Zea mays: one gene and its partner. The protein of the gene in region 2 interacts with the protein of the main gene of each other region in a pairwise test. Links are inferred from orthologs where the notes say so. Each region holds a gene or a part of one and is shown on either strand. Other genes may lie near its edges.

What was found. The genes of interacting proteins can lie anywhere in the genome.
Region 1: the proteins of protein SUPPRESSOR OF PHYA-105 1 (region 2) and uncharacterized protein LOC100277533 interact in a two-hybrid assay, tested with the Arabidopsis thaliana proteins (4 studies listed by BioGRID, with this or other methods). The link is inferred for Zea mays from reciprocal best matches to the Arabidopsis thaliana genes SPA1 and CRY2.

Annotation. Positions count from the first base shown.
Region 1 is NC_050104.1:50,229,754-50,237,261, reverse strand, and holds the end of uncharacterized protein LOC100277533, read left to right. Parts: intron 1-2,799; coding exon 2,800-3,444; intron 3,445-3,806; coding exon 3,807-3,872; 3' UTR 3,873-4,149; downstream 4,150-7,508.
Region 2 is NC_050103.1:73,507,632-73,516,604, forward strand, and holds the start of protein SUPPRESSOR OF PHYA-105 1, read right to left. Parts: upstream 5,827-8,973; 5' UTR 5,416-5,826; coding exon 3,772-5,415; intron 3,012-3,771; coding exon 2,854-3,011; intron 2,549-2,853; coding exon 1,702-2,548; intron 673-1,701; coding exon 526-672; intron 1-525. UniProt on the Arabidopsis thaliana protein: Controls normal photoperiodic flowering and regulates circadian rhythms. Required for suppression of photomorphogenesis in dark-grown seedlings and for normal elongation growth of adult plants.

The DNA.
Region 1 (7,508 bases), on a different chromosome or scaffold from region 2:
CTAGGGATCCTTATCTCCTTAAAACTCTCCTAAAAACTCTCAACAAACTAACTGATAACCTTCCTAGATAATCTCAACTAATCTCCTAAATAATCTCAACTAATTTTCTAATCTTATCTCTAACTATCCTTATCTAATCTCCCTTGGAGGGCCCATGGTTGTTGCTACCGCAGCCCCTCCATGGGCCTCCTTAGGCCCTGACACTACACCCCTCCTGGACAAGCAGCTCGTCCTCGAGCTGCAGCATGACGGGTGCTCAAAGACCGAGTCTACTTGACCCAAAACCAGACACCTAGAAGACAAACCTTTTACATCTCGGCTTATCTTATTATTCCGAATCTGTTTTTTTTACGCCATAAGATAAGGCGGACACCCTCCGCGCATTGGACTTGCACGTGTGCAGCCACCTGGATCCCATGGACGCCATCTAGACGAAAGGGGAGCACATGGACGGGCACCTGGAATAGGTCGCAACAATAACCAGCGGAGGCGCCCTCGTGGCGGCCGATAGCGGAATGTGGTGGCGCTAAATAGTGCGCCCTTGCCGATGACGAGGGGAGTGCCTTCCTTACCGTCGCTGCCGTAGAGTTGAAGTTCGTCGCCCGCGGGACACATACCATGCTCGCACTTGGAGATAGCGGCCCGGAGTCGTTGCTGACGGCCGTCCGATAGGGCGAGGTCACGCCCCTGTGTGCCGAGGTCAACCGTCACCAAGGCTGCCTCGAGCATCTGTCGGCGCATCTCCCGCACTCTCCGTCGTGCAAGGAAGCCACGAGCAGCAGCTTGTATGCCCACAGCCGCCGACGTCTGGAGCTGTGCGGACAACACCAGCTGGTGCTGCTCATGTTGCACTGCTACCTTGATTTGCAGCAGCCCTTACTCAACCTTCTGGAGCGTGGCTTGCATCTTTGTTAGATCAGCCCTTATGTTGGTCCACAAGTCTCCCATCGATGAAGCTGATGATTGCTGAGCCGTGGCTGCCCCTAGTGGCGTCACCCATGGGGACGGAGACGCCGTCAACGAAGATGATGTGACGAAATTTGGCGTTGTCCCTGGAGATGGGCACGCCGGCGTCCAGGATGTGGTGACAAAATTGGCAGGCGATGCTGCCCATGGAGATGGGGACACCGGTTGCCAGGATGGTGTGACGAAGGTGGCATACGGCACAGCCCATGGAGATGGGGACGTTGGTTGCCAGGACGGCGTGACGAAGGTGACATACGACGCGGTCCATGGAGATGGGGACGCCGGTTGCCAGGATGACGCCGCGAAATTGGCAGCAGAAGCCATGGGATCAGATCGAAACCCAAGCTAGCCGATATCAGATGTTATGGCCGCTAGATCGATGAGGGACTGGAGAAGGGTATCGATGGGCAGGAACGTCGGCCGGGGGCCTCTGCCCACGGCCGAGCAAGATGAGGGTTTCTCCCTTCTAATTCTTGCCTACTTTATTTCTCATCCATTGATTACATAAATAGGCCAGCTGGCCGCCCCTATCTAGCTAGGGATCCTTATCTCCTTAAAACTCTCCTAAAAACTCTCAACAAACTAACTGATAACCTTCCTAGATAATCTCAACTAATCTCCTAAATAATCTCAACTAATCTTCTAATCTTATCTCTAACTATCCTTATCTAATCTCCCTTGGAGGGCCCATGGTTGTTGCTACCGCAGCCCCTCTATGGGCCTCCTTAGGCCCTGACAGTTTAGCGCTGCAAAGATGCAGCTTTTGTGTTTAGCTGCCTGTTATTTATAACTGAAATGTTTACAAGAAAGAGTCATGCTCAAGTAAATAACAGCTGCATGTAGTGGCTCCTAGAAACTATAGCTCACAAATGAGGCAACTGACCCACTAACTAATAACTACCCTTATGCCTGGAAGCCAGGCCAACACTAACTCTGAACATAAGACTCGACACTAAGCTACAGGTTGACACTAAGTTGTCACAAACTGTAGGATTACACAAGTTTATCAGGAACTTCAGTTATGACATAATTCATAGATTTACCTTGTGTGATGATTGCTGGCACTACTCTTTTTCTGAGAAAACATGCTGACACTATAGATTCTTACTCAATATTGTTCATTTGTTAACGAAAGGATGCTCAATAGAAACAGCATAACTATTTTCTGCAGAGCTTGATGAATTCTAAAAGAAGTGTAATTGGTAGTTAATGCTAAATCAAGGCAGTTGCAGGTTAGCCTCGTCTGTTGTATTTATTAGTAGACAGGGGTTTTCATCCTAGCTGCCTAATTCTTAAAAGGGAAAACAATTGGCGCTGTCCACTTTGTATTTTTTAGTGAAAAGCGTAATTACCTTGGTCGCCTTAAATTAAATATATTGCTTCTTGTAGGTTATTAATCTGACAGGATGGGTTGCCCCTCGGACATGTGTGAGATTGATATGGCTACATTTTTTCCATTTTGTCGTCCACATATTTTTTTTACAGTCACCAACTCCCTCCAGTCTAAAATACTTCCTACCTTTGGCTTTGCATAGTCTTTAATGCTTATCTTTGACCACTAGTTTATAGAATATATTGCTAAGATCCTTGAAATTAAGATGATTGCAAATCATTATGAATACAATTCTAGATATATAACTTACCTGTTTCTATACTAAGTAATAAATTATTATTGATGTTTGTATTTTTTATGGTTTGACAAAAAGTTGTCCTACGTCATGTTTTTTGTGACTGGAGTGCCAGTTTTATTATTGGTAAACTCTTTGTTCTGGAGGACCAATTTATTTATAAAAAAAGAGGTTCTGACTTGCATTTTGTTGTATGTGAAAGTAGGTTCAGGGTCAAAAGTACGATCCGGACGGTGAATATGTAAGAACTTGGATTCCTGAACTTGCTAGAATGCCAACAGAATGGATCCATAGTCCATGGGCTGCGCCAAACTCTATATTACAAGTTGCTGGAGTTGAGCTGGGCTTTAACTACCCAAAGCCCATAGTAGAACTTCATATGGCGCGGGAATGTTTAGATGACGCCATCTCCACAATGTGGCAATTGGACACAGCTGCAAAACTTGCTGAACTAGATGGTGAAGTTGTTGACGACAATCTGAATAATATCAGGAATTTTGATATCCCAAAGGTGGTTTTGAACAAGAAATTATCACCAAGCACTTCATCCATGGAGCACAGGGTGTTGTCTACTAATGGCAAGGACGAAAAGTCGCAGCCTACTGAAGTGAAGGCCCTGTACAAACAGATTATTCGAGATGATATGATGAATGACTCAAACATGGATGACACATGCTCTACTGCTAACTTGAAAGTGACAAGGAAAAGATCTAGCAGTGATAGTGCGTTCAATGTTCCCTCATGTTCATCCTCATTAGTCATGGAATCACGGATTCATCATAATGAACCTAGTTCTGTTCTGTATTCAGGCTACTTCCAGAAGACAGCAGACAGAGATGGCACTAGTAAGGTACTCCCTCCATTCCAAAATAGTATTCGTTTTAGCTCTTAATTTTTTATATCTATATTTAACAGATGATGATAAATGAAGACACATATATAGAACTACATTAAGTATTGTATAAATCACATAAAAAGACAAAACGAATTTAGAGACCTAGATAACACAACCAAAAAATATAAAAGTATATGGACTAGAAATGTGTATGTTGAGAGTTTAAAGACTGGGATGATACAACATAACAAGTTTAAAGATCTTAGATGTGTACTTTGGGAGTTTAGGTACTGAGATGATACAACACTATAAGTTTAAGTACCGCCAGTGTATATTTATTCTATTCTTATTATAGACATCTGAATAACTCCTTACAGGTTGAAGATAATGACAGTGAAGATAGTGGTACGAGCATCTCTAGGCCATCCAAGAAAGCTGCTTAGCATTAGCGCATTGAAGATGTTGCAAATCTTCAATGAGAAATATTTACCGTCACATGTAATTTAGCTGGTGCGTTTGTAGTGATCATGCAAAAGCTGTTCTGTGAATTATAATTAGTTTTACACGGCCTATCCTTATTCCGATAGAAGGCAATTTTTGTTTGGTGAAAAAACATCGCTCACGGACAGGCCATAGTTTGCTGTCGCTGCTGAACAGCCTAATGCCTGGTGTAAATGACTCATCAACGTTACGACACTATTAGCGCTGGTTGGTTTTGCTATCAATCCGTATTCATGGATTGGGTAAGATTGAGTAGATTTAAATATCAAATAAATCAAAATGTTTTATAATTTTTTTTCAATCTCATTCAATCTACATGGGATAGAAATAACCGAACAAGGTCTAAGGGCGATTCAAATGGTTTCTTCATGACTCGTTTAAGCTCTTAATCAATTTTAGTTCAATAATAAATATAAATAGAGCTTAATACAATCTAATTCTTATATTTTGTAGCGTAAAATGTAGAGCCCAAACTTAATACCACGGCATTTAACCGCTCGATTAAAAAAAGGATAATGGGATCACACATCACATTTGCAATGAAAAACAAGAGTAAAATATACTAGTGGTTCCTAAATTTGTAGCGTTGTATCATCCTGGTCACTAAACTTACAAAGTGTATCTCTATGTTCCTAAACTTATAAAATTGTATCATCCTGATCCCTATGGATAAGCGGTAAACATTTTAGTTGGTCAATATTTTATTAGCAACACATGTCTTACTAATAAGTGTGTATCCCAAATATCCCAATTAATCAAAGGTATAAGATTATATCAATAACACTTAAGTGAAATCACTTAAGCAAACCACTGGTAGATGCTTAGATCACGATTTATTTTCCATCTTTAAGTTCAATTATCATGTGAGGGTCCAGGTTGCTCTTAACCGTGAGCACGGCTGACATATCAATTTTACACTCTGCAGAAGTGCTACAACTTTACCACAAGCCATGTATCCCATCTAGCCTGGTTTGATCGGACCCATAAACACTACCGAGGTGAATGGCTAGGGATCCATTATGAGGCTTTCACAAAATATCCTTAGTACAAAGCCACCCGCTAAGGTTTCCACGTCAGTATTGATGGCCCTCTGGTGAGATAACTTAGCCAAGACTACCACCCATGTTAACATGAGTTGCCACCAAACCACTGCCACCCCCTCTTGCCCATCTTTCAGGTATGGTTGCTAAGTACTAAGTCTATAGAGCTAATTACCAAAGTCAGAGCCATTATAGCACTCGTGGTTGCACTGTTATCCTGGGTGGTCACTCCATGTTCCATTTAACAAAAATGTTCTTGTTTAACCATTGGGTTAACATCATAATAAAACTTCATTTTTAGAACATAGTATCATTAAAAGAGTGACATCATATTTATCAAGTTGAGCAGTAGCAAAAATTGCTAAGCATAGCATTTATCCTAGGGTAATTCAGGGAATAGGGTTGGCAATTCTAGGAAATTATTATTTAGGCAAATCCCATCAAATTATGCAATATATATCCAAAAGTAAACATTATTGTATGCATTATTTCAGTACAAATAGAAATGCAGAGGGAGTATCCACTTGCCTTGCACGAAAGTGTCCTATGGATCATCCTCGAACGAGTTTGGTTCGTCTAGCTCATAGTCAACTTCTAGCATCGATTTGCGTATCGTACATAAAAAAGAATATGTACGCCAAATAAATAAACATACACCATTACATGGGTAATCATTCACCATTACATACACATTCATACATCACACAATTGTACTCATAAATATGTCTACAACGTAAATATTTATTAGTCCACTATATCTTCCATTTCGAGTTATCATCGGTGAAAATATGAGTAGGTGACTATGACACTAGTTTTATCTAGTATGATATAGATAAAAATGCCTTAACAAACTTTACGGAAAATAATTATTTTCTTTATTACTTAATAATAGTCCTTTGGGCTTTATCCTTTCCTTTCTAAATAAAAGTTATATGTATGGCTAAAAATGTTTATTTATAAATCACCTAACATTAATATTCTAAGAATTAATGTAGATTACTAATTAGACTTTGTAACATAATCATGGTTATTATGACATAAATAGATATTTTACTAATTCTAAGTAATTAAGTGCTATACTTATGAATATATTTATCATTACTAGTAAAACCTATATTTTTAATCTGACCAAAAATATGTGGCCTATTATTTATTCCACTTTATTTTATCAATAAAATTATACTTAAATCACTACTATCAAATATCGTTCCATGTGCTAAAGCAAAGTTAATCGTAAATGTTTCTAGTATGTAAATCACCAAATTAGTGAATAGTGACATTATTTTTTTTTGAAATATAAAATAATACACCTGTCCAAACTATTGTTGGAGGGCCTAGTTCAAGATTACACATATACTTTAGGGGTAGCACGTAAGGTTTTTGGACTACTTTCACATACGTTTGTATTGCAGAAAAAAATACAAAAATGATTTATAGAAAATTGGAGGGCCAAAATGCAAAACTGGTGTTCTTCTACCTTGAGCTTGTGCTCACGCGCAGGGGGGGGGGGGTCCGCGAGCAGGGGAGGGGCTCGGCTGGGCAGGGGAGGAGCAGGGGGCTCGGTCGAGTGGTCGGGGACGGGCGCGAACGGTCCGGTCGGGTGCGGACGATGGGGCGCGGCGCGGTGGAGCTCCGGCGAGTGGCGGCACAGTCCGAAGAGCAGAGCGCGAGCGCGGAGAGAGAGGAGAGCGTGAGAGAGAGAGAGAGGGAGCTCGGGTAGCGAGAGAGGAGGGATAGGGGCCGCGGGTGGGCCCAGCTTATCGGTGAGAGAGAGGGGAGGGGGAAATGGGGGCGCGCGGCTGGGCCTTAGTGGGCCAGTTTGGCCGGCTAGGGTTTATGGTTTTCCTTTTTTCTTTTCTTTTCTTTTCTACTTAAAAATATAAATAAATATATTTTTAAATAATTCAAAAATCATAATAATTATACCAAAATTATTTATAACTAAAATATTTATTTTGGACCAATATTTCTGTATTAATTAATTGGATTTTCAATATAAAAGAAATTCTACTAAACATCCATAAATCAAATATGATCAAATAAAATTACTCTAAATGCAAATAAAATCAAACACTTGAAAGAAAAAAATTCATTACCATATTTACCATTAATAATATAAATGCATTTTTTTAGTTGATGGTTTTGTAGTGTTACAACATGTGTGGGGACGGAGTGCTCCTACATGTCGTGTGTTTAGGTTTACCTTGCAAGGTTAAAACTCGATTCAAATCGTATGCTTCTCGCAGCTAATGAGACTGCTTGACCCCTTGTAGTGCACCGAGTAAGAAGTGAAATGAGGTTTCTTGAGATAACATGTTGATTGCACTAAATGATTGTTACCATGTATGCTTAGAAAGGAGCAAACCTAGCGTAAATGGATATGTTATAACCGGAAAAGCTAAAACTTGTTTTTAGACTCAGCTAGTGTTTTTGGCAAACCAAACCCCTCAGCCAAACAGCTTCATGGTCTAGAGGTAGAGGAGTAGTCTCCTCACACCGGCTAAGTCTAGCTGAGTATTAGTATACTCAGCCTTGCTT
Region 2 (8,973 bases):
CGACTCTCACTGGCGCCGCGCCATGGAGGAGTACACAGCCCTGTTGACTAACCACACTTGGGACCTGGTGCCGTGTTCACCGGGCACCAACGTGATTAACGGCAAGTAGATCTTCCACCACTATTGGAATGTGTGAAACCCTAACCCTAGTCCTGGGTTGGGATTATATTATATAGAAGAGCTAGTTGGGCCAAAGCATATTGTATGGGTAATCAGGGAAACCCTAACCAGGAGTCTAACACTATTTAGCTTTCAGCCTTCAAAAAAAGTTTGAATTATCATTCAAGGGACAGCAAAATAAAACTACGGCTAGATGACTTTGGTATGCCTTTCTTTTTGAACGCATACTTTGATATGTCTCTATCTCACCTTAAGTGTCAATTATCTACAATGGTTTTAATTCAGGATATAGAAGGTATGAATGACATAACATCCATTGATCCATGCTCAAAATAAGGGCTCAAAAGTAAGAAAACTGCCTGATAAGCTGATAAAGAAAAGAGTAGGTGTATTTCAGTAACATGCCTGATTAATACTCCATACTTTCACGCAACAATCATCACTGCCACTTGCCAACTTAGTAGGGTCGACTTGTGAAAAACTCACAGACCAAGCCCTTTTGCGGTGCTCTGTAAACTGTGTGAATCCTTGACCAGAGCCAGCATCCCATAGCTGCATATGATAATAATAATGAAGCCAAATGGTTAAAAATAAAAGGAAACATGGCAATAATACAAAGCCCAACTCCCAGAGCATAAAGCTTATAGCATAGAGGCTTTTGTTCTTTGATGCAAAGTATCAAGAAAACAGCAAAGAGGTATCCAAACCATAATAAAATTATAAATGAGTTGAAAAGGTAGCAGCTCAAAAAATAAACATGTCGCTATTGAGAATTGTTGAGTGCTAAAAAGGCTAAATGATAAGGATTGCTGCTTTTCACAAGATGTAACTAGAAGATCCAAGCAATCTAGATATGAAATGGTGTTATTGGCCTGCCTACATAACTAACTACCCTTGTTTTCCTCAACTCCTTAGGCCTTATTTGGCTGAACTCTAATCCACCCCAAACAAGCCCTTAAACTTTTCAGTGTAACATGTGCATCGGACTCAACAAAAGAAAATGCAATCTCAAACTGTCAAACAATGACAAGCCTAAAGCTGACCAATTTTTTTTTGAACAAACGCAGGAAAGCTGCGCGTCATTATATTAATAAGAAAAAACATAGGAGAGACAAGACTTGTCATCCCCTAATACAAAGGCCCATAAGCCAAGACCCCCTTCACAGTACTTGTTTTAACCATCAATATACTTGATTAGTTGTGCTCCCTCTCAGATAATAATACTAATCATAAAGAAGGCATCAAAGCAGATGAAATTGGCACAGGAGACAGAATGCTTCACCGAAGCTAAAACTATATGTGAAGTGTAAATCAGTATACAGCTTATGGAACACAGATCCGTGCCCGCAACATAAACCAATCCAATAAGAATGACAATATCCAGTCAACATATTTTGGTGCATTACAAAAGCAGCAGCACCAAATTATATAAGATCAAGTCCATCTGAACCGGATAAATGTTGCCATCAGAATAAAATAAATATAGAAAAACTACAAGCAAGGGGTGAAAAATATGCCACCTTGTTCATGGATGATAAGATGAATGAGTATTTTGAAAATTACAAACAGTTAGATACATACCTGAACAGTACCATCATAGTCTGTTGATGCCAGGTAGTTCTTTATATAGCTGTTCCAACAGACACAGCTCAGCTTGGACTTGCTAGGCATTTCTACCAGTGGGTAATGAATATCAACACGATCATTTAAGAGTGCATCAAATTCAAATATTTTTATTTTCTTTGAAACTCCAGCAGCAGCAAAATATTCTTCATCCCTATCAAAACTCAATGAACAGATGACATTTGGAGAGCTAAGTACATCTGCATTCTTCAAAATTCCTCGTACTTCAAACCTATTGTGCCGGGCATATTTGCATAAACCATCAAAAAAGCATCCAAGACGGTCTGTTTTCTCTCCCTTTGCATCAGAATCACTGTGACGCTGATGGAAATTTTCACGGACCCTCAAAGCCTCGTTATCTGGACGTTTGATTACATTAGTTTCACAGGTGTCCACAGAGGACCTCATGGAGTAGTAAGCATTTTCAAGCTGCACCAAATTCCTCATTACCCTCTCCTCATATATGCTCGACTTGCACGATGCCGGTAGCAAACCTGACAGCAATGCACCCTGTAGGGCACTCACAGAAGCTCCTGGCAAACTAGAACTTGGCAGTACATCCATATCCTCTAAACTCAATCTCATTCCTGCTGAGTGTCTTCTGTCAATCTCTGTGATATCTGTTTGTAAGCTTCCAAGCTCTGCCGATAACTTGGCAGCCTGCATCTCCTTTTCTTCTTTCAATTGAGAAAGGAAGTTAAGTAGCAAACTAGATTCAGTGTCATCTTCACTGATGGAAACTGGTGACTTATCTAACAAGGACAAATCCCGACCCTCATTTATCAAGTCACATCCAAGAATCTCTCTGAAAAAACAGTATGCTGGCTATTAGGCACGAACAGCAATATAATTATTATTTCCAGTCTTTAAACAGCAAAGAAACATCAAGTAGAAGGGCACGAAAGGGATAACATTAACCATATCTAACATATTTCCACATGCAATGAATGGCAGAAGTAATCCTTATACAAAGAGTTAACTAAACTTAACTGTAACATACAAAATTCACCAAAGCGAAGAAGATTGGCCTTTACTTATATCAAAGTAATGTACTAATCAGTAAACATTTTTCTTATTATGTCTCCAAATGAGAGAGATAAATAAACTGACTTTGCTTTTGGTCTTGAACAAGGATCTGGATGCAGTAACCAAAGGCAGAAGCCAGCCTCCTTGGGACTTTCTGAAAGAAAATTTGGAGGAAGGATGCGTTGGCGAAGATTTGACATTGCAGCACAGTGCATCTCCCATGTCTCAGAACAGCAAAAGAGCTGACAAAAATATTAGGTTAATTAAATACCTTGCCTGCCAGACTTAAGATAGAATCTTACATTTCAGTCAGAAAAAAAAATAGTCTACAGAATCACACAGAAAGTAGAGAAGTCCAACTGCAAGTGTGGTTTCAATTAGTAAGCAATTAAATCTGTGCAAGCATGGTGCTAGTGGAACAACTGCAATTCTCATATATAATAACAAGAGACTACATAAGAATTGGATATAGTAAGAACAAGGGCATTAGTCAGCATCCACATGTAACCAAGGCAAGCGTAGACCTGTAATTCCATGGTCTTGAACCTCAATAGCAATTGGAAACCACAACCAGATTCACTATAAGGTGCATGTGTCATGCAAATATGCTGCATAGTGAAGTGCTTTCAGCATTCCAAAAGCTGATGCACCAAAAAAACAGAATGCCTATCATATTCTTTCATTGGCAATGGAGATCATTGTGAAAGGACCATAAATATCTCAAAATTAATGTGATTATCTGTGTCATTTTTTATTTTCCTGATATGTTAATCTTTCGTGTTTAAAATGTGGTGGGACGTGGGAAACACCATGTTATGCTTATGCATGTCAGAAGTCCAACAGCTCAGAGATTTTAGGTAAACCACTTGAATTTGCTAGTAAATGATAGTAATATACCACCCCGCAAAACTACAAATTGCAATTGCACAATGTCACATCACTTCTACAAAATCCAATTATGGATACTGCTGCAAAAAAATGGCACTTAAGTACTGGATATACCTCAAATAGAAGAACCCCAAGGCTATAGATGTTTGATGGGGGTGTGCCTTTAAATTGACTGAGCTCCTCTGGGCTTTTGTACCAGCTTTCCTCAATATTCCTCAATTCAAATGCTGGTTGTTGGGTTCCAGAACTAGATACATGCTGAGCACTGGACATATTGCTGCCATATGATTCGACGAACTTAAAATGTTCTCTGGTAGTGTAACTAAAATTTTCTTGCCTTGAAATACCTGGATCGTTATCTTCAATTTGATTGTCGCGTATTTTGTCAGTCAAAAATGTATTTGCCAGCCGCCTGACAGCAACTAAGCCTTGCTCACCAACCTTTTGATGCTTCAGCATCAAATTTCCATGGCCATTAGAGTCTTGGTAATCAATTCTATGGCCAAAAGCTCTTTTTCTACTCACAAGATCTTCTCTAGCAAACTCTTGTTTGATTGATGTTGGCAAATCTTGTGTGGTATAAGAACCGATATATTTAACTTGATTTGAAGATAGGATCGTAAAATATGATGGTCGCAAATGTTGTAAAGTAAAACCCTGTGCATGACAGTTATCCACAAGATCAAGGATCTGCTTAAACAAATGCAATTTCTCAAACTTGGACATCGTTTGCCGCCCAGGCTTAATCAGTTCCCTCAGGCTAGTTCCCTCAGAGTGGGATTTTGAAACATCTCCACTAGTACTGAAAAGCATGTCCACTCTGGCCACAGAATCATGAATTGAGGTAGGAATTGTCGGGATCTTGTCCAGAGGGTCTCTGGGTCTTGCATTAGCTTGCACTCGGATCTCCTCCCGTGCACGTTGGTATGCAACCCCTTTACCTTTTGATTTGCTTTTAAGCGGTGACCCTAGAACCCCAGATGGGGGTGCCACAGTCTTACTTCTCATCTGATCAAGAATCCTATTCGAGAAGCTGCTTACTTTAAGAGCGTTGTCCTGATTAGACCAAGGGGACAAGAGAATCTGCTGGCTGTGAAATGGCGTCTTGAACTCATTATTCACATATCCGACACGACTCGTAGGTGCCTCATTGCCAGACACATCGTTGTTCCTTGAGATGATATTGTTGGCAAGGCTCGTCGCCAGATTTTCCCTGCTAGAAGCATCACCAGCCCTCGAGCTTGCAATGTCGCCATAGCTCAGTGCGGCGTTTTCCCTGCTGGCCAAATAGCTGGTTCTCCGGGCCATCCGTGTGAAGTTACCCCACAGGCCCTTAATAACAGCAGGCCTATCCCCACCGCTCGTGCTCCCACCAGCAGAGGCTTCGGGCTGGGCAGCATCAGCGCTAATGCAGTTCTTCAATGTGAGCTCCTCCACCCTCTCTTCCGCGCCGTGGTCCACGCCGCGCTGCGTCACGCTGTCCGGCCTGGACTCGGAGTTGGACAGGCCGACGCTGGCGAGGCCCCTCGCGCCGTCCGAGCTGCCCGCGAACCCGCCCGGCGAGGTGAAGAAGGAGAAGTGCTCGGACCAGTCCATGTCCCGCGGAAGCGGCGTGGCCGGCATCTCCAGCGCCTCGCTGCCGGACGGCAGCGGCGGCGGCTGCTGCGCCGCCGCCGCGGGCTGCCCACTCTCCTTGGCGCCCTTGATCTGCACATCCTCGCCGCCGCCGCCCACCTCCGCCGCCGCCGCCCCTTCCATCGCACCAAACCTACCCTGCGCAAACCGCGCGGCGCCCGCGCAATAAGGTCACGGCGCACGGGCCCAGTCGCGCAAAAGCCGAAAACCAGCCCAGGACCGATTCAGTTCAGCGGCGGGGAGTCATGCGCTCGTACCTCGCGGCGGGCGCGCGCGCGCGGGCGCAGCAGGCCAGCAGAAGCGAGCCGCCCGCGCGGCGCATCCTCGCGCGCAGCGCCGCCACGAGCCCCCCCTCCCGCGACCGATTGGCTGCGGTTCCGGGGCGCGGGTCAGGATGATTCGCCCGATCCAAAGGGCGACACTCGCCGCGGCGAGCAGCGGCACGGGAATTTCCCGAAACGGAAAGTCGACTAGGCTCTCTCTCTCTCTCTCTCTCTCTCTCTCTCTCTCTCTCTCTCTCTCTCTCTCTCTCTCTCTCTCTCTCTCTCTCTCTCTCTCTCTCTCTCTCTCTCTCTCTCTCTCTCTCTCTCTCTCTCTCTCTCTCTCTCTCTCTCTCTCTCTCTCTCTCTCTCTCTCTCTCTCTCTCTCTCTCTCTCTCTCTCTCTCTCTCTCTCTCTCTCTCTCTCTCTCTCTCTCTCTCTCTCTCTCTCTCTCTCTCTCTCTCTCTCTCTCTCTCTCTCTCTCTCTCTCTCTCTCTCTCTCTCTCTCTCTCTCTCTCTCTCTCTCTCTCTCTCTCTCTCTCTCTCTCTCTCTCTCTCTCTCTCTCTCTCTCTCTCTCTCTCTCTCTCTCTCTCTCTCTCTCTCTCTCTCTCTCTCTCTCTCTCTCTCTCTCTCTCTCTCTCTCTCTCTCTCTCTCTCTCTCTCTCTCTCTCTCTCTCTCTCTCTCTCTCTCTCTCTCTCTCTCTCTCTCTCTCTCTCTCTCTCTCTCTCTCTCTCTCTCTCTCTCTCTCTCTCTCTCTCTCTCTCTCTCTCTCTCTCTCTCTCTCTCTCTCTCTCTCTCTCTCTCTCTCTCTCTCTCTCTCTCTCTCTCTCTCTCTCTCTCTCTCTCTCTCTCTCTCTCTCTCTCTCTCTCTCCGTCCGACCCGCCTCTGCGCTACCCCTTGCGAGTTGCGACTTGCGGGCGAGCGTGGCGTGCTGGATGGAAGGGAAGGGAGGGAAGCGGTGGAAGGAAGGGCGAGGAGGAAGTCGAGTAGTCGGCTCGGCAGTCGCTCATGGGTGGGGAAACGAGCTCTGCTTTTTGCTTTCTTTCGCGCGTGGCAGCCTGTTGCAACCCTGGCCGCTTGTTTCGGCCAGGAATCCTGTAGCTCGGTGCGGGTTCTGTGTCTGTGGTGCCGGGGCAACCAGCCACCACCCACTCGTGGAAAGGCAATATATAATCCGTTTAACTTTTTAAAATTAAGTTTGATACGAAAATTAAAAATTGAAAGCTATATTTAAAATATATAGTAGGCTAGACGATATCACTAACAAAATTAATAATAGTACTAAAATGGAAATTTCAAAATCATACTTAAAGTATATCATATGTTTCGGCCAGGAATCCTGTAGCTCGGTGCGGGTTCTGTGTCTGTGGTGCCGGGGCAACCAGCCACCACCCACTCGTGGAAAGGCAATATATAATCTGTTTAACTTTTTAAAATTAAGTTTGATACGAAAATTAAAAATTGAAAGCTATATTTAAAATATATAGTAGGCTAGACGATATCACTAACAAAATTAATAATAGTACTAAAATGGAAATTTCAAAATCATACTTAAAGTATATCATATGTTGAACGATAAACGTGAATATCATCATAGCCTTTTAGTCCAAATAAGTTGTGGTAGACTAGAATTAAAACACAACAAGATATCACTAAAATGAGAAAGAGAGAAAGGCGAGAGGAAAAGTTTTGAGAGCACTAAAAGAAAAATAGCCTAATTATGGTTCGGATACGTGGATAACTTCTTTCCAATTATTTCTAACCAAACACTGTTGTAATATTAGAGAAACAAGTGACATGCTTCCTTTATATTTAAATAAATTAAATATTCTAATTCCGAATAAAACAAGCATATAACTCGGATAAATGCCATATGTAATTATTGCAGCAATGAATAGTAGCAATTCTAGAACATGTAAACATGTAAAATAGCTGCTCATGTCCATTTCATAATTAAACATGGCTTGCAGATGAAGAAGGCAGATTAAACAAATAAACATGATTGTTTATCTTAAAATATTGCTCTCAAAATAGCTGGTTGCTGTAATAAACAGCCCTCCAACGCTAAAAGGTGAAAAGAGATCCTCGACTAACGTGACAGTCCTATCTTACCAAATCAGGGTTTTAGATCTGATGTAATAAGCCTAATAATCAAGTATAAATGCTGATAGTAAGGAGCTGTGTACTAAATAAAATAACTGAATTTAACATAGGTTAACAGCCTCAACAAAGAGAGATTTAATTAGGCACAAATAATATCAATGCTGAAAATGATAATACACTAAAACCCAGACTCTCACGTTGTCAAACTACACCGCTATCATCATCGAGCACACAAATCCGTCCACAACAGTGCAATCACACCCAAGTATTTAATACTAGCAGATTGCACAAAATTAAACAGTAAAAAAAGTGAGACAACGAACAACTCACAGCACGTAGATTGTCTACGTGGGAAGACCAGCTCAGCGAACACAAGGTTCTGTCCCAGAAAACCAATTTCGGCGCCCACGTCCGGACCTGCACGGCGGGAGGTTGATGGAGATACTAGAGCCGCTGCCGGAGCCGAGGGAGACTGTCACACCCGGTTCCAGGGGGTAGAACCGAGCGCATACCATATGTGTGCCAGGATCCATTTCCACACATATGTTGACGTCACAAGTGTAATATATCAAAAGACAATGCAATAAAGGCGTAAAGAGAGTATAATACTTTATTACATCATCTGAAATACTGTATCTTGAACAAGTATCACATCAAAGTAAAGCGGAAATAAACAACTGGGCAATCTTCCACAGGAAGTTGACCGGCGCATCGTTAGACTTAGAATTCCTCGTCGATAAATTCTCCATCAAAGTCTCCAGCATCACCCTCTGATCAAAATATTAGCAAGGGTGAGCTCACTTATGGTCGGGGCTCAGCAAGTGGGGGAAAAATTAATGCAGGTATAACAAGGTGAGGCTAAGGTTGAGCAGTAAGCATTTTAGTTGGTCAACATTTTATTATCAACACATGTCTTACTAATAAGAGTGAATCCCAAATATCCAAATTAAACAAAGGAATATGAATATAACAAAAACACCTAAGTGGAACCACTTAAGCAAATTATTGGCAGATCATCGGATCTCAATTTATGTCCATCTTTAAGTTCAATTATCATGTGAGGAGTCCAGGTCGCTCATAACCGGGAGCACGGCTGATATATCAGTTTTACACTCTGCAGAGGTGGTACAACTTTACCCACAAGCCATGTATCCCATCTAGCCCGGGTTGATCGGACCCTTAGACACTGCCGAGGTGAATGGCTAGGGATCCATTATGAGGTTTTCACAAAATACACTTAATACGAAGCAACCCGCTAAGGTTTCTAAGACGATGGTGGTGGCCCCCTGGGTGAAGTACCTTAGCCAAGAATACG